4 linked regions of the Rattus norvegicus genome follow. The protein of the gene in region 1 interacts with the protein of each later gene in a pairwise test. Links are inferred from orthologs where the notes say so. Each region holds a gene or a part of one and is shown in the gene's direction. Other genes may lie near its edges. The genes, in order: Tsga10, Birc2, Zfp410 and Cdc73.

The links.
Region 2: the proteins of Tsga10 (region 1) and Birc2 interact in binary tests that used the Homo sapiens proteins (3 or more experiments, as listed by UniProt). The two-hybrid records come from large-scale screens. The link is inferred for Rattus norvegicus from reciprocal best matches to the Homo sapiens genes TSGA10 and BIRC2.
Region 3: the proteins of Tsga10 (region 1) and Zfp410 interact in binary tests that used the Homo sapiens proteins (3 or more experiments, as listed by UniProt). The two-hybrid records come from large-scale screens. The link is inferred for Rattus norvegicus from reciprocal best matches to the Homo sapiens genes TSGA10 and ZNF410.
Region 4: the proteins of Tsga10 (region 1) and Cdc73 interact in binary tests that used the Homo sapiens proteins (3 or more experiments, as listed by UniProt). The two-hybrid records come from large-scale screens. The link is inferred for Rattus norvegicus from reciprocal best matches to the Homo sapiens genes TSGA10 and CDC73.

The regions. Positions count from the first base shown.
Region 1 is NC_086027.1:47,588,864-47,596,872, reverse strand, and holds the start of Tsga10 (testis-specific gene 10 protein), read left to right. Parts: upstream 1-2,811; 5' UTR 2,812-2,866; intron 2,867-3,011; exon of another isoform or gene 3,012-3,058; coding exon of another isoform or gene 3,059-3,130; intron 3,131-8,009. UniProt on the Homo sapiens protein: Plays a role in spermatogenesis. When overexpressed, prevents nuclear localization of HIF1A.
Region 2 is NC_086026.1:13,252,417-13,259,660, reverse strand, and holds the end of Birc2 (baculoviral IAP repeat-containing protein 2), read left to right. Parts: intron 1-2,128; coding exon 2,129-2,368; intron 2,369-4,525; coding exon 4,526-4,780; intron 4,781-5,169; coding exon 5,170-5,211; intron 5,212-5,290; coding exon 5,291-5,484; 3' UTR 5,485-5,964; downstream 5,965-7,244. UniProt on the Homo sapiens protein: Multi-functional protein which regulates not only caspases and apoptosis, but also modulates inflammatory signaling and immunity, mitogenic kinase signaling, and cell proliferation, as well as cell invasion and metastasis.
Region 3 is NC_086024.1:109,703,861-109,711,104, forward strand, and holds part of Zfp410 (zinc finger protein 410), read left to right. Parts: intron 1-747; coding exon 748-939; intron 940-4,335; coding exon 4,336-4,486; intron 4,487-6,057; coding exon 6,058-6,239; intron 6,240-7,244. UniProt on the Homo sapiens protein: Transcription factor that binds to the sequence motif 5'-CATCCCATAATA-3', and is specifically required to silence expression of fetal hemoglobin in adult erythroid cells.
Region 4 is NC_086031.1:57,994,654-58,002,506, reverse strand, and holds the start of Cdc73 (parafibromin), read left to right. Parts: upstream 1-2,475; 5' UTR 2,476-2,662; coding exon 2,663-2,793; intron 2,794-5,611; coding exon 5,612-5,717; intron 5,718-7,853.

The DNA.
Region 1 (8,009 bases):
TACCCCAGAAGAGGACATCAGATCCCATTACAGATGGTTATGAGCCACCATGTGGTTGCTGGGATTTGAAACTCAGGACCTCTGGAAGAGCAGTCAGTGCTTTTTTTTTTTTTTTTTTTTTTTTTTTTTGTTCTTTTTTTCGGAGCTGGGGACCGAACCCAGGGCTTTGCGCTTCCTAGGTAAGCGCTCTACCACTGAGCTAAATCCCCAGCCCCACAGTCAGTGCTTTTAACCACTGAGCCATCTCTCCAGCCCATACATAAGTACTTTAATATAGTCATTTAACTATTTTATATATTCCCAAGATAATGGCAGAACAAATTATACAGAGAATGTGTGTCTGTGTGTGTATAAACAAACTTATCTACACACACACACACACACACACACACACACACACACACACACACACACACACACGGTTTCTCTGTGTTGCCCAGGCGATCCTGGAACTCGCTCTGTAGACCAAACCTTGTACTCATAGAGATCCTTCTGCCTCTGCCTCCTGAGTACTGGGATTAAAGGTATGTGCTACCACTGCCAGTTTAGACAGGCTATGTTTTATAATGGAAGACTTCTCTTTTAAAACATCAAACTTTCAGCAATAAAAAAATCAATTTTAATTTTTGTTGAGACTTATTTTTATCTATATCTGCCAGGTATGTGTGCACAGTGTGACTGCAGTGCCCGTGGAGACCAGAAGAGGGCAGCAGATCCTTTGTAACGGGAATTAGAGAGCTGTGAGTCATCTAAGCGATGCTGCGAATTGAGCCTGGGTCCTGTAGAAGAGCAGCATCAAGTGCTCTTAACCACTGAGCTAGCTTTCCAACCCCAAGTTTTTCTTTTTTGAAATGGGTCTCATGTAGCCCAGTGCATGCAGTTCAGGCTGACCTTGAACTCACTGTAGATGATACTGGCTTTGAATTCCAGATCCTCTTGCTTCTACCTCCCAAGCACTCTCACTCATTACAAACACTATGGCAAAGCCTGGCACCAGAAAACAGTTTTCAACTGAAGAACTGAGGCTGAATGATTTTCATAAAATAACCAAAAAATTTAAAGCTAAAATTTACAAAGACGTTAAAACTTACTGTTGCTCCCCACCCCAGATAAAAATTACAATCAATAAATGGGCTAACGAAATGGGCCATTCTCAAAAGAAGAAACATAAATGACCAGTAAATGTTTTGAAAAGTTCTGAACAGCATTAGCCATGGTTGGGGGGGGGGGGCGTGCAAATTAAGGTTTGTACCCTAAATCAGAAGGGCTATCATTGTGAAAACAAATTACAAGTGCTGGCAAGGATGTGGAGGAGCCCTTTCACAGTGCTGGAAGGCATGCAAACTGACGTGAACTCAGTGTGAAGACTTCTCAAAAAACTACACAGAGCTACCCGCGACCTAGAGTTACTGCTTCTGATACGCCCGGAGGCCTTCACACGCTACCACAGGGACACTTGACTATTTATTCCTGTTTATTGCTGCGCTATTCACAAGAGCCAGGGAATGGATCCGGCCTAAATATCCTGAACAGATGAACCAATAATGGGAGCATTGTACATATACGACGAAACTTGACTCTACCATAAAAACAAGTCACGAAATCTGCAGAAAAACGGACTTGGAAATTATTTTAAATGAGATAACAGACTCACGAAGTCAAAAGCCATTATGTTCTTGCATGCCGATTCTAGCTTTACATGTAGGGGGTAAATACGGGTGTGAATGTGGACATAGCTCACGAAACTACAAGGTGAGGCGGGAAAGAGTGGTTTGAGGGTAACAGAACACTGTGACATGAAAAAGGCAGGGACCACTGGGGTCACTGGAGTGGAACGGCAAGGGGAGTGGACAACAGAAACAAATTTTGAAGGCAAATGCCACAAAGAAACCTATTTACTTTGCGTCCTAATAAAATAAATAAAAACGGGGTAAAAAAAAAAACCTTCTGGCTAAGATGGGTAGAAGCGGTAACGCACTCACAAAAGCAGTATGACAAAATACTTTTCATGCTAAACTGAAAAAAAAAAAAACAATGGCAGCACAGCGCGGGGCTCATTTCCATTTAGAAAGATTCGAGATGCCATTTTAAGGCTCTCGAATAGAAAAAAAAATACGTCGGATAAGAAAAGGCCCAATTTTGCTCGCTGGTAGGAGCCAAACTCGGGGTAAAACCTTCAGATACAGTATTTAACATCTCACGAGGTTTTATATCCTTTCTTGATTTTCATTGCTAAGCGTGCTAGAGAGGACCGGCGTGTAGAACAGAAATGCCCGACTGGCATGGGGGAGATGAATGCTGGATCTGCCATTTCCCAGATCCATCCTGACCCGAGCAGACCCGTGGCACCAGGACAGATCGTCTCCCGCCAGGAAGCTGCGACAGGGTCCCCCACCTTAAGGCTCCCACAGCACAGCTTCCTGACGATGGCTGCGCACCGGAGCAGCTCTAGGGAGTAACCGCCTCCCTCAGCTAGAAACGCCTGGGGTTCCTGGGACCGCAGCAGGGGCGCCAGCGCCGGGCGACGGCCACCGCGCTTGCGCGTTCCGGCTACCTCCTCGCAAGCGCAGGCTGGAGGATGGTTACTAAGAGACTGGACGCACGGGTCGGCCATCACGGCGCTGCGTGGCCGTGCGCCTGCGCGGCGCGGATGGACCAGGAAAAGGCCTCAAGTCGGAGCCCTGACAGCTCGGGCCCGCTGCTGTCTACGTCGCTACGTGCTCGCTCGGGTGCGCGCGCACGATCCGTAGTTCCCCCCCCCACGAGAGGGCGTGTCGAGCCAAGTACGCGTGCGCACGGGGGCTAGGGCGCGCCGGACGGAAGTGGAGCGGAGGCGCCGGGGAGGTGGAAGGAGAGCCCCGCTCAGGTACAGAGCGTGAGGGCGGGGCGTCGGCCAGCCCCGAGCTAACCGCTCCCGCCCTCTTCCCGCTGCGCCCTGCCCAGCGCCGGCCTCCGCCGGGGCGGAGCCAGGGGGCGGGAAGAAGGAGACAGGGGCGGAGGATGGAGGCCGGGGTGGGGCTGGATCTCTGGCAAGGCCATAGGCCCCATAGTGGCCGGGATGAGCTCCGGGGAGGACGGTGGCCGCGGAGGCCAGGGGAGGGCTGCGGAGCTCCAGGGAGAAGCCTCGGAGGTGCGCTGGGCTAGAAGAGAGCCACTCCGGGGCGGCTGCAAGAGGGTGGGGAGAGCCTCACGGTGGCCCGGGGTGGGCATCGCTGTTTGGGCAGCTGTGTCGTGGGTAACCCGCCGGGTAGGATGGCTTCCAGGAGCAAAATTTACCCTAGTTTCTGGGGAGTTCATGGTTGAGCCCAGTTCCTATGGTGACCGCTTCGCTGCTGCCTGCCTCAGCTTGGTTGTTGGGGGACTGATTGCTTAGAGACACTGAGGTGAAGCTGTGGCATTTGGAAGTTTAGCCTGTCTGTTTCAGGACCCCCCAGTCTCTCCTCAATCTCTTCTTTATAGATTAGAAGGCAGATGAAGGGAGAAATTGAATTTTGCATGAAAAAAAAATCTCACAATCTCCTAGTTTGTACAGAGGAAAGGCAGGGTAGGCTGGTTTTTGTTTGAAAACTTATTCAAGACTCAAATAGGCATCTGTCATGCATTTAATATCTAAAAATGCCGACGTATATATGTACATAAGTATTTGTATATAATCTTCAGTCAACGATTTAGATTTTAAGAAAGGTTTGCACAAGTGACAGGGTTCGGTGTTTTCTTTAAGCCCCTGCAGACCTGCATGTCCCACGGTACTAGCTAGTCATTTTATTCTACTGGTTTTCAGGATTTCGAGTACATTTTGTTCACTTTCGGGAAATAAAGTCATAGTAATTTCGGAATAGAATAGGTTGTTAAGCTAAAGGGAAGTTATATTTAACTGTGCTTGAAGAACAAAACAATTGTATTTTAATTAAGCAATGAACTAAGTCCTTCTGTCTTAATTACTGGGAAAGAAATAATAAATATATTACATCAACCAATATTCCTTTCAAACCCCCAAACCTCGATATTATTTAATGGCAGTTTTAAAAACAGGTTTTACTTATTTTCCAAAGAAGAATCATTGCCGTAGCCCAGAATATAACCAGGCAAAGAGAGAGCCTCTGGGTTCTGTTTTCAGTCTAATGTCTCATTTGTTTAAAAATCATTTGGTTTTAAAGTTTTCCACAAGTAGAGGCCATTAAAACAGGTGTAATTTATTCCCTAACAAGTCACATGCTCTTGCGCTTCCTTTATTCCCCATACTGGCAATGCTAGCCATTTTCTTGCTTTTCCTAGTAGTTTTATCATCCTGTGCAAAAGTACAGCTTACAGTCTGCCTTGTTAGGGGACTTTATAGAAGGGAAACTGTAGCAGGTGTTCTACAGCTTATTTTCAACACTTAGAGGTTGTATCCTTACTGCTTCTAGGTAGTTTGCTAGTGTTCCACTGTAAAGATATACCACAATTTACTGTCGGTGGGTTTTCAAATATCTGACAGGGTTATGGGTATTAAAATATATGCATCTCATGTTTTGAGGAGAGGCAGTGGGGAAGGTAGTTCTTTTTGTTTTAGTTGCACCATTAGTCTTAGTCTTAAATTACTAATCCCTTTGGTCTAGAAAAGCCTTCAGAGAACAGCTAACTCCGTCTTGGGTTTCTAAGGTCTTGATAAACACTGCCTCTCCATTGTTTCATGCTGCATTGAGAACATAAGTTATTTCTTTAGAGACTGGATTGTAGAAACAGAGATGAGCTTGGAGCTTGGAGTGAAATGACTGGGGAGATTTTGTTGTTGTTTACCTTAAGAAAAGTTTAAACTTTAATGACTTTACTATTTTGCTTGAAGTGAGTTCTCAAAACATACTCACTTATTTTTGTCATAAATATAAATGTGACATTCATAACCTTTTTGTAGGATTATCCATATCTCCTGGTAGGCACTTCTATCCTACTTTGATGAGTCTGTAAATCTAACTTTTGGAGAGAATTGTTTTAAAAAAAAAAAAAAGCAAAACTTAACCCTAGTTTAGCTTTCCCAGAACCAGTTTTCAGGACTGAATTGAAAATACTACAGTATTTTTAATTATTGTATCAATATAATAGCTACTTGCCAAATGTGTACTGTGTGACTCAGTTTGCTTAAGAGCAATGATACTTTGTGTGTTATGTGTTACATGCACATGTATACATGTGTGTGAAGGTTACAAACTGACCTGGGTGTTTTCCCTTAATCCCTCTTTACTTTATTTTATTTATTTATTTTTCTTTTGGTTCTTTTTTTTTCGGAGCTGGGGACCGAACCCAGGGCCTTGCGCTTCCTAGGTAAGCGCTCTACCACTGAGCTAAATCCCCAGCCCCTCTTTACTTTATTTTTAAGGCATCATTTCTCACTGAGCCTGGAGTTTGTCAGTACAGTTAGTCTGGCTGACCAGCATGCCCAGTGGTCCTCTTATCCCCTGCTTGTCCCATGCTAGGATCACAGGCACATGCTGCCCACTGCTGTGCCCAGTCTTCTTTACAAGGATGCTATGATCCAAATTCTGATCCTATGTGTACAGTGTGTACTTTCCTGACCCTAATGATATATTTTTAAACTAATTTTTAAACGTTAGTGTACAGAGCTGGAGAGATGGCTTAGCGGTTAAGAGCACTGACTGCTCTTCAGAGGTCCTGAGTTCAGTTCCCAGCAACCACATGGTGGCCCGATGCCCTCTTCTGGTGTGTCTGAAGACGGCTACAGTGTACTCACATGCATAAAATAAATAAATCTTTAAAAAGAAAGTTAGTATACAGTGGGAGGGGGTGACCAGAGGAGAGAAGTTAATATACAAATAGTCTGTTGTATCATGACATTTCACACACATATATTGTTTTATCTTGATCCTCCCTACCCTTCCCGCCTTTTGCTGATAGTTTTTAAACATATAATCTTAACTTCATTTCACTGAAAAATTAAAGTCCCACTAGGAAGGAAGTTCCTCATATTTAACCCTTATTTAAAATTCCACTTACCTTTGCTTTTCTCATTCTGTGTCAGAGGACAGTGTACCTGCTACCTGGGTTTCCTCATGTTACTCACCTTTTGCCTCTCCACCAATCAACATTAATTTATGTCTTCATTCTTTCTCTGTTGTAGGACTTCATTACTTGCATTACTTTAGTGAATTCCTTTTTCAACCCCCCCCCGCGCGCGTGTGTGTGTGTGTGTGTGTGTGTGTGTGTGTTTGTGCTTGTGCATGTGCGTGCACATTATGTGCATGAGGAGGTCAGAGGACAACTTCTATGTGTATGTGTGCACACTTGCTTGCCAGGATGTATGCTTGCTACAGTGCCTGTGCGGAGATAGAGGAACTGTGAGAGTCGGTTCTCTTCTTTCACTATATGGGTCCTGGGTGATCAAACTCAGGTCATCAGGCTCAGGCACAGTGCCCTTATCAGTTAAGTCATCTCAGTGGTCCTGGCCCTAAGGAAATATTGAAGTGGTTTTGTGTATGCAGATTAGATATTGTTCATCAGAAATGCTTAAAATCAGAAGTGTTGCTGTTTCAGAGGTTGGGGACTTTGGGATATTGCATGTACATGATGCATCTCAGGGATGGGGCCAAATCTAAACAGAAAATTAATTTGTTTCATATGAACTTTACATCCATTTTCCGTAACACTTTTGGTATCCTGGGATTTTGACTTTGGCCACTCTCCTGAGGTCAGGTATGGACTTTTCCATTTGTAGCTTCATGCTGTTGCTCAGAAACTTTGTGAGGATTTCAGGTTTGAATTTTCAGAGTAAGGATGTGTAGACTTTCTTTGCATTTTCTTGAGAGCCACAGTACTTGTTTGACTCTGGAAGGGGTCTCTTGAAAAGAATGGAGCATACTTTTCTCTTTTGGCAGTGAACCTTCTACAGCCTTAGTCTTCCTTTAACTTTTTTTTTTTTTTTGTTCTTTTTTTCGGAGCTGGGGACCGAACCCAGGGCCTTGCGCTTCTTAGGTAAGCGCTCTACCACTGAGCTAAATCCCCAGCCCCCTTCCTTTAACTTTTATTCCGCCTCTTTGGCTCTTGTAGCCATTCTGATTAAAGGCTTACATTTTATATTTTGATTTTTAATCCTTATTCATTTATTAGTCCTCTTGGGATTTACTTTCATTCCACCACAGAAACTGCTTTGTTTAATTAAATGTCATTATTTAAAAATGTTTTATTAACTCTAAATATTTATTCATTGAGTAAATACAAATGTTCCATAGAGAAACTTTGGTGGACTTTGTTCAAACATAGCAACCAGACAACAGCGTAGCAGTCTTGGAATTTATATCCCGGTAGAAGAAAATAGACAGAAAGCAGGGAGACAAATAACTAATACAATTTCAATAGGGGCAAGTGTAGTAGCCTGAGAGGAGAGTGACTGAGAGAGAATCTGCTTAAAGGAGGAGATTGAGGGAGAAAAGCTATTGTGATGTTCAAACCAAAGAGCTGAGGTTGAGAAGATGTCAGTTAGGTAAAAGGCTGAGGAGAGGACTGGAGAGATGGCTCAGCGGTTAAGAGCACTGAGCTCTTCCAGAGGTCCTGAGTTCAATTCCCAGCAACCACATGGAGGCTCACAACCATCTGTAATGAGATCTGATGCCCTCTTCTGGTGTCTGAAGACAGCTACAGTGTACTCATTTACAAACATAAATAAATAAATCTTAAAAAAAAAAAAAAAAAGGCTGAGGAGAGAACGCTCCTGGTGGGGAAAAGTGGGAAGAGAGCATGAAGTCAAATGGAAATGGACCACATCGTAGCTCATTTGCATTGCTGCAACAGAACACTGTATGCTCAGGAGATTGTAACAACAAACATTTAATCCTAACAGTTCTGGAAGCTGGGAATTGGAAGATCATATCTGGTGGAGGCCCTTTTCCTGGTTCATACATACCTTATTGTTGTTTCCTCATGATACAAAGTGTGAGAGAGGCCTGGGGCCTCTTCTATACAGGTAATTGACCATGATCTAGTTTACTTTTTGGTGCTAGGAGCTGACCCCAAAAGTG
Region 2 (7,244 bases), on another chromosome or scaffold:
CTGCCCATCCTTGTTTTTTCTGCATCACTTATGTACCTGTTTAGACATTATTCATCATTCAAATCTGATACATGTCCGTTGGTGTGAATCCAACCCTAGTGCTTCATGTGTGCTTGGTAAGGACTCATTGCTGTGAGGCCCCACACCCACACGTACTCTCTCTTTGGGGAGGGAGTAGGTGCCTGCCTGCTTGCCAGAAGTGGAGTCCTCAAGCATGCTAGACAAGCCCTCCACCCAGGCCACACCCCATTTCTTCATTCAATGTTTTGTTTTACTGTGTTAGCAAACAAGTGCTAGGTAAGCTTTCTGCCCTCTAGGTGTGTTGTGGTAAAATGCTGTCTTTTAACCCACATTAGATCCTGTCACCATAGTGCCCTATGTCATCTGTTAGATATCGTCATCTCAGTCAGCAAAGCATCTCACCTGCTTTGCTCCATCTATCCATCCAGACATACAAAGCCTTGTACACATCCATGCCTTGAGAATATTCATAACAACCTACAAATGTGAAACTTAACACCGCTTCCATGTTCTCTTGGCTACTACCTCTCCTCTCTCAGACGTTGTTGTGTTGTGTGTGCTTTCATGTGATGATTTAATTGGATTCAAGAGAGTATTTGATGGCTGGAAACACTGGACCCACCATGAAATTGGGATGTGTATGTCTGGCATGGTGGCAACCTGCCTTGGGAACTAGGTGGGTCGAGATATTGTTGCCAGGCTCAGAGAGTAGCCATCGATCGGCAGTGTGATATGGGATAGAGCAAAGTGGGTGAGATGCTTTGCTGAATGAGATGGAAATATCTAACAGATGTCATGGGGCACTACAGTGTAGGATCTAGTGCAGGATAAAAGAAGCATTTACTTTTACCACAACATAGGTGTACCCACATCTTAACCTTTTCTCCATCCATCCATCCATCCATCCATCCATCCATCCATCCATCCATCTATCATCTATCTATTTTGGGGTGGTATTTTGCTTAAATCTTGCTTATATGTGGGTCAGGAAAGGACCTAGGGCTTTGTCTATGCTGTCACATGTCCAGTGATAATGAGCTTTACATTTGCCCTACTTTTTTGCTCGAAGGTAATTTCGCATATCTATATTTTTGAGGTACATTGGTTTTTAAAAAATGAATGTGTATTAGAATCATTTTGGGAGATCTTTTAAAATTAATTTTTCATATCTGTATGTGTGGGTACGTGAGAGAGAGACAGATATGGAGACACAGTTATTTCAGGAGTCAGTCTCTCCTGTGAGTTTCAGAAATTGAATTTGGGTAGACTTGTACAGCAAACACTTACCCATGAACCATCTTGCCTACATGATTTTTGAGGAAAAGCTGTTTACAGTGTATGTGTGGGTACACATGCTGCAGTGTGTCTGGAAGTTAAGAGGACATCTTTGGGCACTGGAGAAGATCCCAGTAGTTATAAATACTGAGGGGTATAAGGGGTGGGTTGGTGGGTTGGGGAACACCTTCATAGACACAGGGGATGGGGGATAAGAGGGGATTTATGACGGGAAACATTTGAAATGTAAATAAAAAACAACCAATAAAAAGAAAAAAGAAAAAAAAAATACTGGGTGTTCTTCCAGAGGACCTAAGTTCAATGCCCAACACCTGCATGCAGGCATCTCACAACTGTCTGTAGCTCCAGTTCCAGGGACCCAACACCTTACACATGCAGGTAAAACACTAGTGCCACAGAAGCAAATAAACTATTTTTTAAAAAAGAGGACAACTTTGGGAATTAGTTCTCTTCTTACCCCCTTATGGATTCTGTGAGTTGAACGTAGGCTTGGAGCAAGTGTCTTTACCACTGAGCCATTCCAACAACACTTCAAATTTTTTTAGCAACAGATTCCTAAGCAAATTGCCAAGAGATTTTTTTGTTTTAAGTTTACGGCAGGATGTAGGTACTGTATGAAGTGATTTTTTTTTTTTTTAAGATGCATAGTACACTAATTGTTCAAAGTTCAAATCGTATTGAAATTAATTTAATTGTTGCGCATGGTATGTCTCATTTATTAGGACATGAATAAAAATGGTGCCACAGGCATTATATTTTCCATAGTTTTAAATTTGTGGAGTTTAATAGTAGCAAATTTGTTTACAAACAGTTGTGCATCTGGGCCCTGGAGAGAATTGGGAAGATGCAGTGATGATGAACACACCTGTGGTTAAAGCAGCCTTGGATATGGGCTTCAGTAGGAGCCTGGTGAGACAGACGGTTCAGCGACAGATCCTGGCCACTGGTGAGAACTACAGGACGGTCAGTGATATTGTCTCAGCACTTCTGAATGCTGAAGATGAGAGAAGAGAAGAGGAGAAGGAGAGACAGAGTGAAGAGACGGCATCAGGTAGCATTGGTGGCTGCAGGTTTTCAGTTACCTGTTACGTGCAGCATCCTCACCTCTCACCCATAAATGGCTGCTGATACTCTCCTCCTCTGGACATACCTAAACTGTCTCTTTGCCAAGCTCAGGCTAGCTTCATATTCGGTCTATAGCTAGTGCTGTCCTTGAACATCCCTGAGGTTCCTGCCCCCACCTCCAAAGTGCTGAGGTTACATGTATATGTAACATTACACAGATTTACAATAAACTTCTTTTGAGCTGTATTGCATTTCTTCTGTATACATAACTAAAACTGAAAAAAGCATGACTTAAGGGACTTGAGGGATTGCTCAGTGGTAAAGAGCCCTTGTAAAGGACTTGAGTTTGGTTTCTATTGTCTAAGTAAAGTCCAGTGTCTCACAACTGCCTACAACTCTAGTTCCTGGGGATCTGACCCCCTCTTAAGACCTTTGCATGTACCTGGTACACAAACATACACTCAGGCACATACACATAATTTTTTGTTTTTGTTTTTTAAGCAAGATCTAAAAACTGGTTCAAAGCTGGTTGTAATGGAACATACCTAATTCTTACAATCGTGGCATTCAGGAGAGTAAGACGGGTACTGAGTTTACGGTCAGCCTACATTCCAAAGCAAGAATCTACTTTTTAAATAAAGTTCCTTCAAATTTGGTTTCTAATATGACATTTTACCTAATAATCCTTGGTAGGTGATCCTTACACCAAAAATTTGATTTTAAGATGACATCCTAGGCTGTGGTCCTTTGCCCAACCCAAGGATAATAGACAAATGACTTGGATATTTGTGTAGATTTTATTAAGTCTTAATCTCCTTGAATAAATCTTCCTCTGGGTAATTATATCTTCAACAAATATGCATATATTTAAATATGTAAATAGTAGAAGTAAATAAATGTGAAGTATTGATTATTTTCAAGGAGTATGTAGACTAGCTGGGAATAGTGGTTGCAAAGACAGGATTAGAGGGCCATCGGGAGCCTGCAAGATGGCTTAATGGGGAAAGGTGCTTGCTACACGCTTCCTCTCTCTCTCTCTCTCTCTCTCTCTCTCTCTCTCTCTCTCTCTCACACACACACACACACACACACACACACACTGATTCCTATAAGTTAGGTGCTGTGGCAGGACTGCCTCCCCCAACACACACTAAGGAAAGAAAAAAATTTTTTTTTTTTTTTTTTTTTAAAAAAGAGAGGTCTAGTTGGCTACAGCCTTATTATGTGACCATATCACAAAAAGTTTAAAATTCTAACTTCTGGATTGAGATAGATTTATGTTTCAATCCTGGCCTTTTGGTTAGTAAGTAGGTAGTACATTCAATTAAATTGAAGGTTTCTCATCTCTGAAGTAAAGTAATCTTATGAATAAGCTAGATTCATTTTTAAAAACTATACTATAAATTTAGATTTATAAAATAAAGCTGGCTATGTGTTACATGTGAGGTATTGTGCAGTGTGGTTTATGTGCATTTTATTTAATTCTTTGAGGAAGATGATATTATTCCTATTTCAGATCAGGTGTATATAGCAGGAGGACACATGGCTATTAAGTGGCTAGACTTGCCTGGGAGCCAAGCATAGTCCATCATGTCTTGTAGCTTAAGCTCTTGAGCATTGTAGTTGTATAGAAGGCATGGAGTCTCAGCCTCTAGGCTGAAGATGTAGCTTATTGATAGAGTCCTTGCCTGACATTCACAAACCCTGAGTTCCATTATCAGCACTATGTAAATCGGGCATAGGGGTTCATGTCTGTAATCCTAGCTCTTGGAATGGAGGTAGAGTCAGGATTGGGGGAACATAGGTACATGAGGTCCTGTCTCAATAAATAACAAACCAGAAAGCTCAACTAGTTTAGGATTCTGGGGAAAGAGAAAAAAGAGAGGACACATGGTTTACTACTCTCTAAAATTTTCTGCTTGCTCACAACAATTTGAAGGATTTTTTTTTTAATTGTGTGATATATCGGAGTTTAATCTGTAAGATTAACATGACACTTGATTGCATTGATGTGCAATCAAGTCATTTCTGAGAAGTCCTTCAAGCTCAGCTTAGTGCCTAATTTGTACATAGGGTTGGTTGGGTGTAAGTTGGGGGTGTTTGAAATTTAATGGAACTTTTTCTTGCTTGTTTTTAAATGAAGGTGACTTGTCATTGATTCGGAAGAATAGAATGGCCCTCTTCCAACAGTTGACGTGTGTCATTCCTATCCTGGATGATCTTCTTGAGGCCAGTGTACTTACAAAGGAGGAACATGATATTATCAGACAGAAAACACAGATACCCTTACAAGCAAGAGAGCTCATCGACACCATCTTAGTCAAGGGAAATGCTGCAGCCAGCGTCTTCAAAAACTCTCTGAAGGAAGTCGACTCTACGCTATATGAACACTTATTTGGTGAGTTTATTGGAAAAAATTATTTAGATACCTATAGGGTTTGAGTTGTCTCTCCATTGATAAAGCAGAATAAATCTAGTTTAAACCTGTAATCTTTACATTTTATCTATTTTTTTAAAAAGTGATGTATTTTATTGCCTGGACAGTATTTTTTTTTTTTTTTTTTTTTTTTTTTGGTTCTTTTTTTCGGAGCTGGGGACCAAACCCAGGGCCTTGTGCTTCCTAGGCAAGCGCTCTACCACTGAGCTAAATCCCCAGCCCCGACAGTATTCTTTGTAATATATAGCAAAAAAAAAAAAACAAACAAACAAAAAAAACTATGTAAAAGTAGTAGGTTAAAAAGTTTCATATTGATAGAATGATGCTTTTTGTATGCTTGCTTTCTTCAGTGGAGAAGACGATGAAGTATATTCCCACAGAAGACGTTTCAGGTAAAATGGAGCTAGCACTCCAACATTGTGCCTGTTAGTTTGTAGAGGCTGAGTCTCACTATTGTCCTTCTGTTCTCAGGCTTGTCATTGGAAGAACAGCTGCGGAGATTACAAGAAGAAAGAACGTGTAAAGTGTGTATGGACAGAGAGGTCTCTATCGTTTTCATTCCTTGTGGTCATCTGGTAGTCTGCCGGGAATGTGCCCCTTCCCTGAGAAAGTGCCCCATCTGCAGGGGGACAATTAAAGGGACTGTGCGTACGTTTCTCTCATGAATGAAGGAAGCTGTCTGAACAAAGAATTACTGATTCAGCTACGCAGCAGAACATATGTGCTCTACTCTTTCAAGATTAATAATCTTGCTTTATGTCATATTGTATATTTAATCTTAGTCTGTTGCAGGGGAGGGTCTATGCTGATGAGCTACAGGAGTGTGTATGTCCCAGAGCAGGAGTGGGGATGCTTGCTGTGTGTCCTCAGGACTTCCTGGATTTGGGATTTCTGAAAACTTTGGATTCAGGTGATGTGGAACTCAGAAATCCTGAAACCAGTGGTCCTGGCACTCAGCAGTTAGCCCTGTGCTTCTTGGTGCTTTTCCCTTCTGGAAAATAAGTATTTTTCTGTTACTAGTAAATAATATTTTCTGTTTATGAGAAACATACTGAAGTTTTTTTTTTAAAGGCTTGCATCATCAGTGTGTGTAGGAATGTATGCAGGCAGAACACTGTGTACATAATAAATCTTTTAAAAATGTTTCTAATGTGATTCATGAGAATTCCTTTAGATAAGCTGTGTGTGCTTTGTAAATAAAATATTGGGAGAAGACTCCATCAGTATCAAAAAATTGAGATAAATCTACATGAGAAATTATATGAAACAGTTTACTTGCCTGTTGAGTGTAGGTGTTTGTTAGGATTGGAGGGTTAGGAACCAGACAGTGATAAGTACTTTCTTTGTGGACCAAACCATATATGACCTGTCCTAGATATAAGTCTGGTAGGCTTGTGAAGGTTTGAAGTGTCTTTAAAAAGGCAGAGGGCGTGGTGGTGTACAGCACAGACAGGTGGATCTTTGGGCTGGTTTGTTTTTGACAACAAATTTAAACATGTCTTGGAAGAGGGAATCTTGAGAAAGCATATAAGATGGCTCATAGGCATGTCTTGGAGCAGTTTTCTTTATTAATGATTGATGTAGGAGAGCCTTGCCCATTTCAGGTAGTTGTACCCCTGGACAGATGGTCCTAGACAGTACAAGAAAGCAGGTCAAGTAAGCCATGGGGACAAGTCAGTAAGCACACCTCCATGGCCTCTGCTTCAACTCGTTTGCAGGTTCCTGCACTGACCCCCTTCAATGATGGAGTATGAACTAAGAGTTGTAATTGAGGGCTGGAGAGATGGCTCAGTGGTTGGGAGCGCCGACTGCTCTTCCAGAGGTCCTGGGTTCGATTCCCAGCGGCCACGTGGTGGCTCACAACCACCTGTAAGATGATATCTGATGCCCTCTTCTGGTGTGTCTGAGGACAGCTACAGTGTACTCATATATATGAATAAATGAATCTTTAAAAAAAAAAAAAAGAGTTGTAATTGAAACTAACCCTTTCCTCCCCATGTTGCCTTTGGTTATGGTGTTTTATCATAGCAATAGAAACCAAGAGGAACAAAGATGGCCTGTTCTGCATCGTGAGTTCCAAAGCAGCAAGGACTAGATAATAAGACAAAATGAGTAAATAAAACAAACCCCTGTATTAGTGTTCTCCAGAGTAATAGAACTTACAGAACGAGGCTGTGTCTAGAAAAAGGACTTATTGCAGGACTTACAGGCTGCGGTCCAGCTAATCCAACAGTGGCTGGCTGTGAATGGAAATCCACGAGGTGGATGTTTCAGCTGGTCTTCAGTAGGTGTGGGAATCCTGAAGAAGTAGGCTCTAATGCCAATGAAAGAATGGACTTGCTAGCAAAGTGAGGGCAAGCAGGCCCAGAGCAAAAGCTTGCTTATTCCCTGACTTTCCAGAGGCTTCCAGCAGAAGGTGCATCCC
Region 3 (7,244 bases), on another chromosome or scaffold:
TAGGAACCAGGGGAGGAAAGTGTTTTAAGGAAGAAAGGATGCTAAATGATACCGACTGCTGTAGAATGGACTAGAGAGGTCAAATGTCTACCTGGTTGCCTTGGGAAAAATAGTAGTTTCTGGAAGACGGGTGGGTCTGGAGAGTAGAGTGTGACTGAATAGAAATACAAGTTAGAAGGTAGAGTTATTTTTGAAACTGCATACAAATCTGTAAACTCAGTGCCCATGATGCTGAAGTAGGAGGACGTGCTTGAGGCCAGCGGAGGCAACATGGTGAGACCTTGGCTCAAACAAATCAATAATAAAGAAAACGTGTTGGGCGTGGGTCACTTACCTTTAACTCCAGCTCTTGGAAAGCAGAGACAAGCAGATTTCTGAGTTCAAGGCCAGCTTGGCCTAAGTAATGACAGCCACTCTTAACTGCTGGGCTATCTTTCCAGCCCTGGTGAGAGAGAACTTAACGGAAGCATTCAAGAGAGAATGACCTGACCGCACACAGGATTGGAGTATTTCAAGTGGGAGGTGGCCTGGTTGCCAGGAAGGAACATTTTGCTTCTGAAACAAGAGGAGGCAGAGTTAGCAGTAAGCCTGTGGGCTGGATGGAGAAACGATATCTTAATTATTTATAAGAACAGAAACTTGAAGTGAGAAGGGAAGATCTAGACTGATTAATTCGGGACAAGTGTCTGGGCCAGGTCTAATGAAAGGATGCTGGCTAATCTTCCTGTGTTCTCTTTCTCCTTTCAGGTCTGGGCTCTTCAGCTGAGCACTTTGTGTTTGTACAGGATGAGGCCGAGGACTCGGGGGCTGACTTCCTCTCTGCTGAGAGCACAGACAGTAATATCCCATGGTTCCTCCGGGTTCAGGAACTGGCCCACGACAGTTTGATCGCAGCTACTCGTGCACAGCTAGCAAAGAATGCAAAAACTGGCAGCAATGGTGAGACTTTCTTCTCTCAGGTTTCTCCATACAGAGACTTGGGTAACAGAGCGGCTGTATTTTGAATTGTGTATAATTGCAGCTGTGTTCTGTAAAATGGCAGAATACTGTGGCGGGACAGAGCACCTCAGTGGGTCCAGCCAAGGTGTTCTCCTGAGGACTCACCACCGTGGAACAGGCCTAGAACAAAAGGGAGCTTATTTGGGGGAAGGGAAGGGGACCTGGAAAAGGGGTAGAGGAAGAAAGAGGAGGGAGGAAGAGAGAATAGAGAGAGATGGGGGGAGAGCGAGAAGTGGGTGGGTAGAGAAAGGGTGTGGGAGGGGAAAGGGAGGGAGGGGGAGAGAGAGAGAGAGAGAGAGAGAGAGAGAGAGAGAGAGAGAGAGAGAGAGAGAGAGAGAGAGAACGAGAACATAGTCCTTATAAGCCACGTTACCTTGCAAGTTGTTGCTAGGTAGCTGCTGGGTGGAGCCTAGCAGAATTGCCGACAATATTGAATGCTTTTATCATAATCATTCTTAAGTATGTAAAGATCAAAATTTATAAAACATTTATATTTAGAGCTCAAAGAAGTTAAAATAGCTTTATCAGTTAATAAAAGTACAATTGTAAAATTAATGTTGAATCTGACTCATAATGCTTAAACTATGTTGATATTCATTAGCCAATTGCTTTATGCTAGTTACTTTCTGTTTAAAAAGTTTGAGTGTATATGTGTGTGTGCATGAACATGTACACATGGAGGATAAAGGTATGTCCTCCCCACTCCTAGGAATATCCCACACATGGCTGGTCTGTGTTTCATGTCCTCATGCTTGTGTGACAAGCATTTCCCCCACTAAGCTGTTTTCTCAGTCTGGTGTCTCTTCAGCTTAGCCTGTACAACTTCATGTGTCTGACGTCACTTTGGAATACGGTCCCCGGATCCCCAGGCAGCTCAGAGGTGTGGCTGTCTTGGTGCTGAGAGGTGGCTCAGCTCTTAAGGGTGATGGCTGCTCTTTCAAAGAAGCTGAATTTGCTCCCTAACGTCCACATCAGGTGGATCCTAACCTGTAACTCCAGCTCCAGAGGACCTCACACACTCCCTTACCCCACATTGGTCTTCAAGTGCAACTCTCATGCCTAACCACAGATCTGTGGTAGATTCAAAACCCCCCATACTAGTCAAACCTTCGTTTACATAACTACCATTAATTTTTAGGTCTCTTGATTAGTTCTCTTTCTGTATTTTCTCATTAGTCTGTGATGATTAAGTTATTACCACACCTGTCACTATTGTTACTAACCAAGCCAAGATTACACACAGCATTGTCAGTTGACAACTATTTGGAGCTCTTGCCTGGTAATCCAGAACATATTTATAATTATTTTCTAATTACTGTTCATATAAAAACAAAAAACTAAATAACATCTCATAAACTTGGGGATTCTACAGATATTTCAGAATATTTATTTTTATAAACAATAACTCCTACACAGAATATTCCATACTTTTGTTGATCTTCAAATGATTATTTGATAGTGACTTCACGGTGCCCTGTATTCATCTAACCATTTGGGGAAGATTTCTTCTAAGATGATTTTTCTAATTCAAAAATCCTGAAACCTTTCGGTCCCCAGCTCCAAAAAAAAGAATAGAAAAAAAAAATAAATCCTAAAACTTTCACCATTTTAGTCACATTTAGAAAATGGTGCCGCCCTACATAGTGAGTCCCTCATCTCAAAAGACAAAAGTTACTTTATAACCTTAACAAGTGTCTTATATTCCGGAATACAAAGTAAATACCACAAACATAAGACACAAATAGTTTCATTTTGTTGGTGAGATCCCCTAAGATTTTGTATTTAATTCTTTCCTAACAAACTACCCCTCCCCTTGCAGGGTCTCCCCTTGCAGGGTCTCCCCTTGCAGGGGCTCCCCTTGCAGGGTCTCCCCTTGTAGGGTCTCCCCTTGCAGGGGCTCCCCTTGCAGGGTCTCCCCTTGCAGGGGCTCCCCTTGCAGGGGCTCCCCTTGCAGGGTCTCCCCTTGCAGGGTCTCCCCTTGCAGGGTCTCCCCTTGCAGGGTCTCCCCTTGCAGGGTCTCTATGTGGCCCTGGCTGTCCTGGAAATCACATCTGTAGGCCAGATTGGCCTGGGAGTCAGAGATCCACCCACCTCTGCCTCCGGAGTGCTAAGATTAAATGAGTGCACCATGCCTAGCTCTGATTTTCTAGACATTGACTTCTGTATTTTGTTGTTTGTTTTTGAGGCAAGGTCTCCTTATGTACTTCTGGCTTTTCTATAACTCACTATGAAGACCAGGCTAGCCTTGAACTTAGAGAGATCCAACCATCTCTGCTTCAGTGTTTTCACGCATCTCAGGACACACATCTTACCTTGACTTACTTTCTGTACTGGGTCACGTAAGGCCTCCTGCTTGCTGGGCATGTGCTCTACTGAGCTAGCATCTGCAGCCCTTCCTTACTACAGCCTGTGACGAGGTCTTACGGAGGTCCCAGGCTGGCCTGAAGGCAGACCTGTTGATGTGGACCATGCATACATTCTTAGTTAGCAGATCCTGGGCAGCATGAGCCGAGGCCTGCTTGCTCGTCTTGCCTCCCTTCACTATGGAACAGCCCCATGGATGTTGTCTCTTATGAAAGATTGGTTCAAATTTTCAAAATTCATCTGAGGTTTACATTTTTAAACACTGGATAACCAAAATGGGGTGAGATAGGAAATTAGAAGGTTGTTCTTATCCTTCAAATGATAATAAATGAACAAGTTGATTCAGAAAATGGGAAATCTTAAGAATGGCCACCTGTTTGGAGACGGGGTAGGAGGGAGGTAGGTTTGGGGGTTTGGGATGTGGAACTGTTGGAGGGTGACTGGGAGGAGAATAAAATCTGGAGCATAAAAATAGGCAGGCAGGCAGGCAGGCAGGCAGGCCGTCTGTGATAAAAACCTGCTATAAGCTCACTCATCCAAAGCAAGTGTTTCCTTATTTCCTAAAACTCGAAGCTCCCTCTGTAGCCTCCACTCTGGGTGTTACTTCTCTACCAACTCTGCTGCAAATGCTTGGGTTCCTTTTGAGACTGCTCAGTCCTGCTACTTCTCTCCCACCACAAAAGCTGGGATTACAGGGGTGAGATCACAGGCGTGTACCACCATGCCTGGCCCCGCAGATGAGATATGTGTAAGGTAGCCTTACTCAATATCACTACGTTTGTCAGAAACCTAGTGTTAGGAAATAAAGCCTGCAAGCTGTGGGTAATTCTCTGGATGTAGACGAAGGTCATGCCTATGCCTAGTAAGCACAGATAGCTGTCTGGTTAACGATTGATCGCTAGCAATGAAACATTTGAATCTGAGTGTCTGAGCAGGATCTTTCCCTGAATTCTAAAATGTCACTTGTTACAGGAGAAAATGTCCACCTTGGTTCTGGCGATGGGCAACTCAAAGACTCTGGGCCCCTTCCTCAAGTGGAAAAGAAGCTCAAGTGCACGGTTGAAGGCTGTGATCGGACATTTGTGTGGCCAGCTCACTTCAAGTACCACCTTAAAACTCATCGGTGAGCAATCATACTGAGGAACCTGTCCCTGAATAGACAAACTACAGGAAAGCGGGAACTCCGTTTGTGCTGGCTAAGATATCTTCCTTTGTCAGGTGTGATGATGCATATACACCTGTAATCTCAGCCTTTGAGATCGACTTGGGCTGTAGGGAGACCTTGTTTCTTTCTTTCTTTCTTTTTTTTAAGATTTATTTATTTATTATATATGAGTACACTGTATCTGTCTTCAGACACCAGAAGAGGGCATCGGATCTCTTTACAGATGGTTGTGAGCCACCATGTGGTTGGGATTGAACTCAGGACCTCTGGAAGAGCAGTCAGTGCTCTTAACCACTGAGCCATCCCTCCAACTCAAGACCTTGCTTCAAAAGACCAAGGTCTCTGGTTCTCGTTTGTTTCTGGGTGGATTCTTGTGCTACCACATTGCTTCAAATTTTTTGAGCTTAAATGATCTTCTGCCTCAGCCTCCCAGGTTTACAGCATGCCAGCTAATAGGAAACTTCTTGTTTGAACCTTGTTTTTGTTGTTCTAGGATCTAAACCCGGGCTTTATAATCTACCTAAAAAAAAAAAAAAAAAAGTACTGTTTTGTGAGCTGTATCCATAGCTCTATGTTTTTGTTTTGTTTTGTTTTGTTAAGATGAGTTCTCACTGTTTGCTCGCACTGGCTCCAAACTCAAGGTTCTCCTTCCTAAGCCTCCCATGCACTGAGGAAACCGTGCATCCCCATACCTGGCTCAGGACTCTTGTATGTTAATAGAAAGATTGTGTTGTCTTATTTACTTATTTTGGGCATGTGGCTGCAGGCAGGCCTCAGACTTTCTGTACAGAAAAGGATGCCTTTGAATTCTTGGTTCTCTTGCCTCTGCCTCTCATTAACTTATTTCTGATAAATATTTAAATAAGACATTTTGCACCTAAATATCTTAAAGAGTAAAAATTCTCAAGTCTTACTACAAAATAATTTGAGAACTTAATATGTAAATTCTAAAGAGATGAGTTAGCTGTTAAGAGCATTGGATGCTCTTCCAGAGAGCAAGTTGGTTGCCAGCACCCACGTGGCAGTCCACAGCTGCCATAACTCCACTTTTAGGGATCTGGTGCCCTTCTGGCCACCTTAGGCACCAGGATATATGCAGTGCACAGACAATTCAGGCAAGATACCTATACACAGGAAAACAAATAAAATAACAACAGCCAGGCAGTGGTGGTGCACACCTTTAATCCCACACTAGGGAGGCAGAGGCAGGTGGATCTATTTTGAGGGCAGCCTGGTCTACAAAGCAAGTTCCAGGACAGCCAGGGCTACAGGGAGAAACTCTGTCTTAAAAAACTTTAAAAAAAAAAACCAACCTAACAACAGTAATGGCAGATCTTCCTAGGGCACCACCTTAAGTCTGTGTGGTGTTGTAGCTGAGACTGGGCTTGTACAGTTCTAACAGCCTGGGTTGGTTTGAGTATCCCCGTCGGGAGTGCACTGTCTGCCTTTGGGTCGGTAGAGATGCTGACGCAGCAGCAGCAGCAGCACACAGCGCTCTCAGGCCTTGGTGCTTGTGACTGTTTTCACAGAAATGAGCGCTCCTTCATCTGCCCTGCAGAGGGTTGTGGGAAGAGCTTCTATGTGCTGCAGCGGCTGAAGGTGCACATGAGGACACACAACGGGGAGAAACCCTTTATGTGCCATGAGTCTGGGTGTGGTAAGCAGTTCACTACGGCTGGAAACCTGAAGAACCACCGACGCATCCACACAGGTGAGCAGCTCCCTTCCCTCCCGCAGTTTCCTCACCTCTGCCGGCCGCCGGCCACTCCCTGCTCCCCTATACTTAAAGGCACAGCGAGGGTAGAAATGAAACACACTGTTGTTACTAGTCCCTGAGGAGAGGGTTAATTCCATTGTCTTGTGCATTCTGTTGATTCATTATCAGTAACCTTTATCCAGCTTTATCTGTGTGAGGAAGGAACAGACAGTATTGTCTTCTTTCTCCAGAAGCCTACCTTGTAGGAAGAAATGTGAGGTTGTCCTAGATGACCTTAGCGCCGCCAGGAGGTGACGGACAAGTCGGCCTGTTTTCCAGTCTCTGAAGATTGCATGGATGTATTTATCGAATCCTGTGAACGTTACAGAGCAATAAATAGGAGATAAAGTACAATCCGAAAGCGAGGTGCTTCTTCTTGTTAGCACTTACAACATGACAAATAGAATGAGTGTCCGAATGAAAGAAGCAAAATAAAGATTCCTTGCTTCTTAGTCCAAGATCCTGCACGTGCTTCTGGAGCCGTTGTTAGAAATGTGTTATTACTGACCTCAGGTCACCATTGAGCATGTGCACCTCTTCCCTGCTTCATGCCACTTCCCAAGTCTTGGCTAAAATGACAGGAGGTACACTGTATAGGAAATCAGAAAGGGAAGTCCATGCACAAATCACAATTGTTCTAGACATAATTTCTTCCAGTTGGCATACCTTTATATGTTAGGATGAAATAATTTTCTCTTCAGTTTTCTTACAACAGTAAATGTGCCTGGAGGTGGTGCACACCTTCAATCCCAGCACTTAGGGGACAGAGGCAGGCGGATCTCTCAGTTCGAGAGCAGCCTAGTCTACAGAGCTAGATCTAGAACAGCCAGTTTTAGACAGCTTTAAAGCCAAACAAAAGAAATAAGCAAAAAGGAAATAGTAAACAGTTCTCATTCTAAGGAAGAAATTAGAATAAAAAACAAAAAGGCTGTGTCTCGTGGTCACATTTCAGAACATTAA
Region 4 (7,853 bases), on another chromosome or scaffold:
TGTTACATATACACAGTTCTAATGTGCTCAGTATCACACAACACACACACACACATACACGCGCGCGCGTGCACACACACGCGCACACACACGCACACATGTATATACGAATCTGTATGCTTTCAGGACTGACCATTTGGTTTGGATAACTAGTTTTGTTTCTCCACGGGGAAGACTATTTCACTCTCTCTCAGCATTCCTTGCTGCCTGAGTTCTTTGTCTAGTGTTGAGGTCCCACAAACATTCTCTCTCTCACGTTAGCATGTCCGTTGGTGTCTTTTCTTCGTCAGGTCATGTTTAGGCAGCCATGTTAGTGAGACTTCATGGGCGTATCTTCTCTGACATTTCTAGGAAACACCGTCTCCTAGCAATGCTCCTGTTCTTCTGACTCCTTCAAGCTTTCCACCTCCTTTTCGGAAACGATCCCTGAGCCTTATGTGCAGGGGTTGTGTTGTAGATGTGTTCATTAGGGATCAGCTGCATTTGATCAGTTGTGGTTTCCTGTGATAGTCTTTATTTGTTGCAAAGAGAAAAAAGTTTTTGAAGAGCGGTGAGAATTACACTAATTTGTGGGCTCAAGGATAAATATTTAGAATGCAGTCAGAGTATGCAGGTTTAGTAAAATGGTGGTTGTAGGTTCTCCTTCATGATCCATGAGTTTACTAGCATGGGGAGTTAGCTAGGTCTTCTGTAACAGGCATGGTTTCCCTCTTGTTGAGTAGGTCTTAAGTCCAGTTAGAGAGCTGCTGGCTACTACCAATGTATGTGTCACTATGAAGTGTTAAGCTTATACCCAGGATAAAACTATTTTGAATATAATTTTTTTAGTTGCTTTCCCAAGTTTTCAGTTCCACGGCTACTATCTTTTATTAGACTTTGTCCTTCTTGACTTAACTAATATTAGAGGTCAATTTAAGGGAATTTATATAACAAAAATGATGTAAAAATTTCAGTGCTTTAACTTATAAACAATAACATTTGTCTTACAACATTGAGTCTAGGGGTCATTAACCTTAAAGACATAAATTAATCAAAAAGAGAAATTGGTTGGAAATGATTTGTATATAAAATAAAATTCATAAAAACTATTGTTGACTTTCTTAACTCGTCTTGAAACCTATAATGCACTTATTACCTCAAACTTTACTAGGAGACTTTATCTTTTCACTTACTAACTCAATATTTTCTAGGTGTTGTTACTGTATCAAGTACAGTGCAGACGACCAAGATGTACTACATGTCATACAGTCGTTTCATTTCCTAGGAGGTAGGCAAGCAAATAAAGGGGACAAGGAAATACTGGGTACTGTGATATATAGGTATAAGTCCAGATGTGAAAGGGACAGTCGAGCAAAGTCAGTTCTTTATAAGCCGCATTTGCCGTGAGGTTCAGAGACACATTGAAGGGAGAAAACCGTTTGTGAGGCAGACATTCTTTTAACCTCATACATCCATACCCGGAGAACTCTTTGCCACACATAACAAAAGTTCATGCCCCCCCCCCCAAAACCCAATAGATCAAAGTATTTGGTTTTATAAGTAACAAAGTGTGCCTCCTTCTCACCAAGAGTGAAAAAGAAATATTAGGCTTGAAGTGTATGTTTAAGTTACACAGGCCATGTAAAGTATCAGAATTCTAGGTTCCCCTAACATAAAGTCACCGGTAAACCTTTTGAGGTTTGATGTTTAGTATTTCTTCCACTCACAACCTGGAATCATTTGAGGCTTTTTTTGGGGCGGGGGGCGGTTACCCGGGAGAAGCTGCCGTTGCCGGGATGGAAAAAAGTTGTTTCCAAGGAAAGAGGCGGCGTGGGGGAGGGGGTGGTCAACAATGAATTGTATTTCGTCGACGCGTTAGGATGCTTTCAACTTATTCTCATATTAATTTTACTCCGTTCACCAATCAATCGATGTTAGGAGACCAGCGACTAACAAACGGTTCCAGAATTGTTCTTCACCTAACTCTTCTTTTCCTCTTTGCAAATCTACTCCTAATGAAAACCTAGCCTTAACTTGAAAACGTCCACATTCCAAAGTTCAAGCTTTCCCTAGTAGCTTATCCTGCCCACGGGGACCTATTTCGCTGAGTGCGGCTCAGATGAAGGCAGAAAGAGGGGGAAGCCTTCAACACAGGGAAGCGAAGCCTGGCGCAGGGAAAGTAAATCACCCAGTGCGCGCTCTGGGATCGAAAGTGCGGAAGCGCCCAGCAGGTGCGCGCGCACCTGTCGCTCGCCTCGGAACCCGCGCCGGGCGCGATTCCGCTAAGGCTCAGCACCCCGGGAGCGCCCAGGCTGGCTCCCGGTTTCCCAGAGTCGGCGGCGTGCCCCGCGGGCGTCTGGGAGGCGCGTCTGCTCGGGCGGCCGCGGCGCCCCCTGGCGGCGGCCCGCGGCCCTGGCGGAGCGTGGGTCAGTCAGGCGTTCTCCGCGGGCAGCCCGCGGCGGGGCCTTGCCTTATATAGCGCGGGGTCCTTGGCGGCCTGGGTGGCTTCTGCCCGTGCTGCTGTCGTAGACGCGGACGGCTGTTAGTGTGGTGGCTGTTGGTTCGCGGCGGCGGCGGCGGGGGAAGAGGGCGAGGCGACGGGGAAAGGAGGCGGCGGGCGCGGCGGCGACGGCGGTGCCCGGGGCCCGCGGCGGCGGCGGCTGTAGCAGCGAGGGGGGCGAAGATGGCGGACGTGCTCAGCGTCCTGCGACAGTACAACATCCAGAAGAAGGAGATTGTGGTCAAGGGGGATGAAGTGATCTTCGGGGAGTTCTCCTGGCCCAAGAATGTGAAGACCAACTATGTAGTTTGGGGGTAAGTGCGGCATGGCTTTGGCCTAGTGGTGGCCGGGCAGCGTCGGGCGCCCCCGGGCGACCTCTTCCCTTAAGCCCTCCTCCTCCGGAGTCCCTCGGGGATGAGAGGAAAATATGGGTGCTCTGGGAAAAAGTTATTCTCTGGAGCAGAAGTTGTACTTTTAGGGTGAGGAGGGAAGAAGTGGAGCGGATTCTAGAGCGGTCAAGTCTTTTCTGTGTTGGAGAAGCCAAGGGGAAAGGTACCATGGGAGTTTCCGACTTGCCAGTCGGTGTTCAGTATGTACAGGTTGTCCGCGCTGTGTAGGGCTGCTGCACGTCTACCTGAACGGAGGTATAGAAGCAGACATCGATCCCAGCATCTGGCGTCCACCGAGTCGCTTTTTGTTCTTAGTTGTTTTTTGTAATCTCCCAGAGGCTGCCATGTGTTGCAACTGTCTCCTCTGGCTCTTCGAGCGTCCCGGTAATTTTCTTTTCTTTTTTTCATAATAGGGGAGGCTGATATTAAAAAAGAGGGAATAGACAAGTACTCCTTACAGTTTAGGAAAGATGGGAGAGTTTGGAAGTCTGCAAACATCAGTATTGGAGAGGAAAGCAAGACTTTGTTGGGGAGAAAGTTATTGGTGAAATGCAGTGAGTTTTACATACGGGTCTGAGAAATTGATCCTATGTGCTTTTCAAAAAGCGCTTTCAAAGAAAAACGAAGCGTTTGGGAAGGTTGATTCGTGGATGCCATGAACTTAAGTCGTTGAGGAAATCACAGAGTATCAAGTTAATAATCAAAGATAATCCTTTGGGTCCCCTTTAATCATGATACTGCCATTGATGCTTCTCTTTGATAATTAGAATCATGAGTCAGACTTTTGGTACTCATGACTTTATGAATGATCAATTAAAAACGAGAAAATGTTAAGATTTCTTTGGACTTACTGAGTTCCTTTTTGAAATGTTGATTAAGTGACATTTTGAGTTTCCCATGTTTTACTGTTTCAGATACGTTACACAGAATTATTTTATTGGGTTTTAATGAATATTTTTTCTTTAAAAACCCGTGGGATAAAAGAAGTTTAACTTGGAAAAAAAAAAGTTCCTTCCTTAAGCTATTTTGACTAGAAAAAGTGGAACAGATTAAGTTGATCTGAAATGTTTCCTAGCTGATAGGAAGAGAACAGTTGTTTACTTGTGGGTGGGGCGGTATTTAGAAAAGTGTGTTTTGTCCATTCTACAAAGCCTGGAATAAATGAATGAACAGATGAGTAAACTTTAAAGAACAGCTAAGAATTTGAGTGAGATAGTGGGATAGCCTTCCAGTGCTGGGGACTATAGACTTGAGACTTAAGACATGAGACTTGGGAAGGACATGCTTTGACAAGAGTGTACAGAGGAGTGAAAAGTAAAACTTAGAAGGAATTTAAAACTTTCAACATCAAATCTTCAACAGAAGTTATATCTCTACATGAATTCACATCTCACTGTGTGTATCTCTAAAAGACTAGTTAGTACCCTTAATGCATTCAGCGCTTTCTGCTATTTTATGATAATTACTTTGTATATTAATTAACAATGAATGATTTGACATATCACTTCAGAGCAGTGGTTCTCAACCTGTGGGTTGGAAGTGTGGGAAGACCCTCACAGGGGTCTCCTACGGCCATCAGAAAACATAGGTACATTTATAACAGTAGCAAAGTTAAGAGTTACGAAGTAGCAACGAAAATTATTTTTTAGTTGGAGGTCACCAGAACAAGAAGAATTGTATTAAAGAGTTGTAGCATTAGGAGGGCTGAGAACCACTTGCTTAGAGTAAAAGTGATAATAGAGGCTAGTAAAGGAGGTTTAGGACAAAATAAAGTGAGCTGTATTTAAATGGATTCCTACAGTTGAACCATCATAAGTAGATGGAGGAGAAAGGAAGGGATTGCAAAGTGGTGTGTGCGTTAGCATTAGAGAACTTGTATCCCCAAGACTACATTACTTGATCACAGTATTTTAGTTTTGCTTTATTGGTTTAGTTTGAGAGATGTTATAAGGATCATCTCCTTGGAGTACATCCTTTTAACTTTCAGAGTATTGTTGAAGATGTTGTATAGCAGTATCTTTTTTAGAATTATAAGATGTATATCTTTTAAGTGCATCCTTAGTAATACCTTCATCTAGTTTGTTTTCTATGATAATCCTTTCCATTGTGCAGCTGGTTGGATTTTTTTTTTTTTATTTTTTCTGTTGACAGAGTCCAGAACTCAAGTCTTATTTTAAAATATGTATACATATTTAGAGTTGGGATTGAGGATGTAGCTCAGTTGGTGTGATGCTTGCTTAGTATGTATGGGTTTCGGCACTTGATCCCCAACACCACATGCAAAGAAATATGGTGGAGTGTACATGCTGTCCTCAGCTGTGTAGCAGAGTTGAGGCTAGCTGGGATACATGAGACCTTGCCTGTCTTTTTTTTTTTTTTTTTTTTCTATTCTTTTTTTTTGGAGCTGGGGACCGAACCCAGGGCCTTGTGCTTGCTAGGCAAGCACTCTATCACTGAGCCAAATCCCCAAACCCGAGACCTTGCCTGTCTTAAATAAAGAAAAGAAAGAGTATATATGGTATTTTAAAGAATGAATTTATGTGCTCTCCCTGTTTTTTTTTTTTCTGCATTTTTTTGTTTACTTTTGCCCAATGACAACTCATTGTGAAAGTTTATACTGCATGTATGTTTTTGCTAGGTTAAATACACTGTTAGATAACCAACTAGATATAGATAAATGAATGCATGTAACTGAGCTCAAATATTTATCTTAATCTTAATAAAAGTCATGCCTTAATTTTAGGACCGGAAAGGAAGGCCAACCCAGAGAATACTACACATTGGATTCTATCCTATTTCTCCTTAATAATGTGCACCTTTCGCATCCTGTTTATGTCCGACGTGCAGCTGTAAGTAGGAGTCATTTTAAAACTATTGATCAAATAGTTATAGATAACTTCACTCATGGGTTTCAAATGTCTGAAATTGTCATGGAGAGTGAAAATTAAACTGCTACGTGATTTATTCAGATTTTTTAGTTGGCAGTTCATTCATGTAAAATATAGGTAACATTTATAACAGAACTTTTTTTTTTTTTCTTTCTTTTTTTCGGGGCTGGGGATCGAACCCAGGACCTTGCACTTCCTAGGCAAGTGCTCTACCACTGAGCCTAATCCCCAACCCCATAACAGAACTTTTAAAAGTGACTACATAGATGTTTCAAAAAATATAAGTAGAAGAACTCTGATAATTCAGAACTATAGTTTAATTTCAAGAAAACTTTTCTTAGTATAAACATATTATAGGAGAAGGCATAAGAATGATATAAATTTAGTACTAAAGTATGAAAATCTCAATAAACCCAACGTAAGCAGATACTTCTTTAGAATTTTAACCAGAACAGTTCTTTTGGTACTTTATTGACAAATGTATTGTTTTTTAGTTTTATCTGCTTTGTCAGTGTTTGAAAATTCATTGTTGAGAGGAAATTATTAGGAATAATTAAAAATATTTCATTTCACAAAGATTGTTATGATGAGGTTCTTCTGCTGGCAAGGGACTGTTAAGTAGGATTCTGAATTATTTGAGTTTGACGTTGCAGCTTGGCATACATGTGCAAATTATGATGGTTCTCCAGATATTTCTCTGGGTATTGGGAGGACACAAGTCTCATGTAGCCCAGGCTGGCCTCTAGCACCTGTCTAATTGAGGATGACCTGAGCTTGTGCTTCTCTTGCCTCTACCCTCTAGTACTGGGATCAGATGTGTCTGCAGTCATGTCCTGTTAATGTGGTATTGGGCACTGAGCCCAGGCTTTCATGCTTGCTAGGCAAGTACTCTTCTTCTGAGAGACGCTGCAGCCCTTTAACTTTTATTAAAAGTGGTCCTCCATCAGATTTCTTGATGGATCAGACATAGAATTACTTTGGAGATACTGATATAATCAAATATCTACTCTAAAAGCTGTTTTAACTTTACTGCATTGTCTTAATTTGAAAGTAGTTCTTTCATTTCTGAATATTCTCAAAACAAACCCATAAAATCTTCATTGTGACTTCCATCACTAGAGATATTTTTTGGCAGCTTAACACTACTGCTGGATTGCATTATGTTGTGTGAAATTTACTCTTACAACCTTTCCTTCTAAGTAGAGATAGTTGAGGCTTTTGAAAAGTAACTTGTTATTTGGACCAGTTGTGAAAGTACCTCATTTATTCTGCTTCAGTAGGACTGTTTTTCTGAGTAAGAAACATATATTCAGTGTTAAATATATGTTTAAAAATCTTAAAGTTGGTAAGTAGTAGGGAAAATTAATAATTGACCATTACATTATTTATTAGATCTTTAAAATCCTAATTAAGCAATAATTAGAATTGTTTGTTAAGTAATTTACGTACTTAGAGCTATAAACATTTCATATATCTATATATTCATGTATGTATATTTATATATACATATATATGTATGTATACATACATAGTTTTGTTTTTTGAGACGTAGTTTTTCTGTTTAGCCCTGGCTCATCGGAAATTCATTCTGTAGACCTGGCTGTCCTGGAACTTAAGAGATTCTCCTGCCTCTGTCTCCTGAGTGCTACCACTGCTCCGCAAGACTATTCTTCGAGTGGCTATAGTTCATAACTTATAGTAACAGTTATTGTGGACTCTAGGACTTACATTTATAGTCATATAAGATATAACCCTTGCTTTACTTAAAATTTCTCCAAATGAAATGGTACAGAGATCTAAAATTCTGCAGCTTTACAGATTAGAGGTTGCTTTTTAAGTTGCCATGTTCCTTGCTCTGTGCTGTGTGCTGACTCTTCCTGGAATAGGTGCTCTGATCTCTGGGGCTTTGTAGAGTCAGTAGACCTGCAGCTTCTCAGGTGGGTCATAATGTGGACATAAACAATACTTAGATGGTTCTGAAATACATGAGTAAGCTTTGAGATAGTAATTTAAAGAATATCAATTCAGGCTGGGTGGTGATAGTACATACTTTAATCTCCGTACTTGGGAGGGAGAGGCAGGGGGATCTTTCTGAGA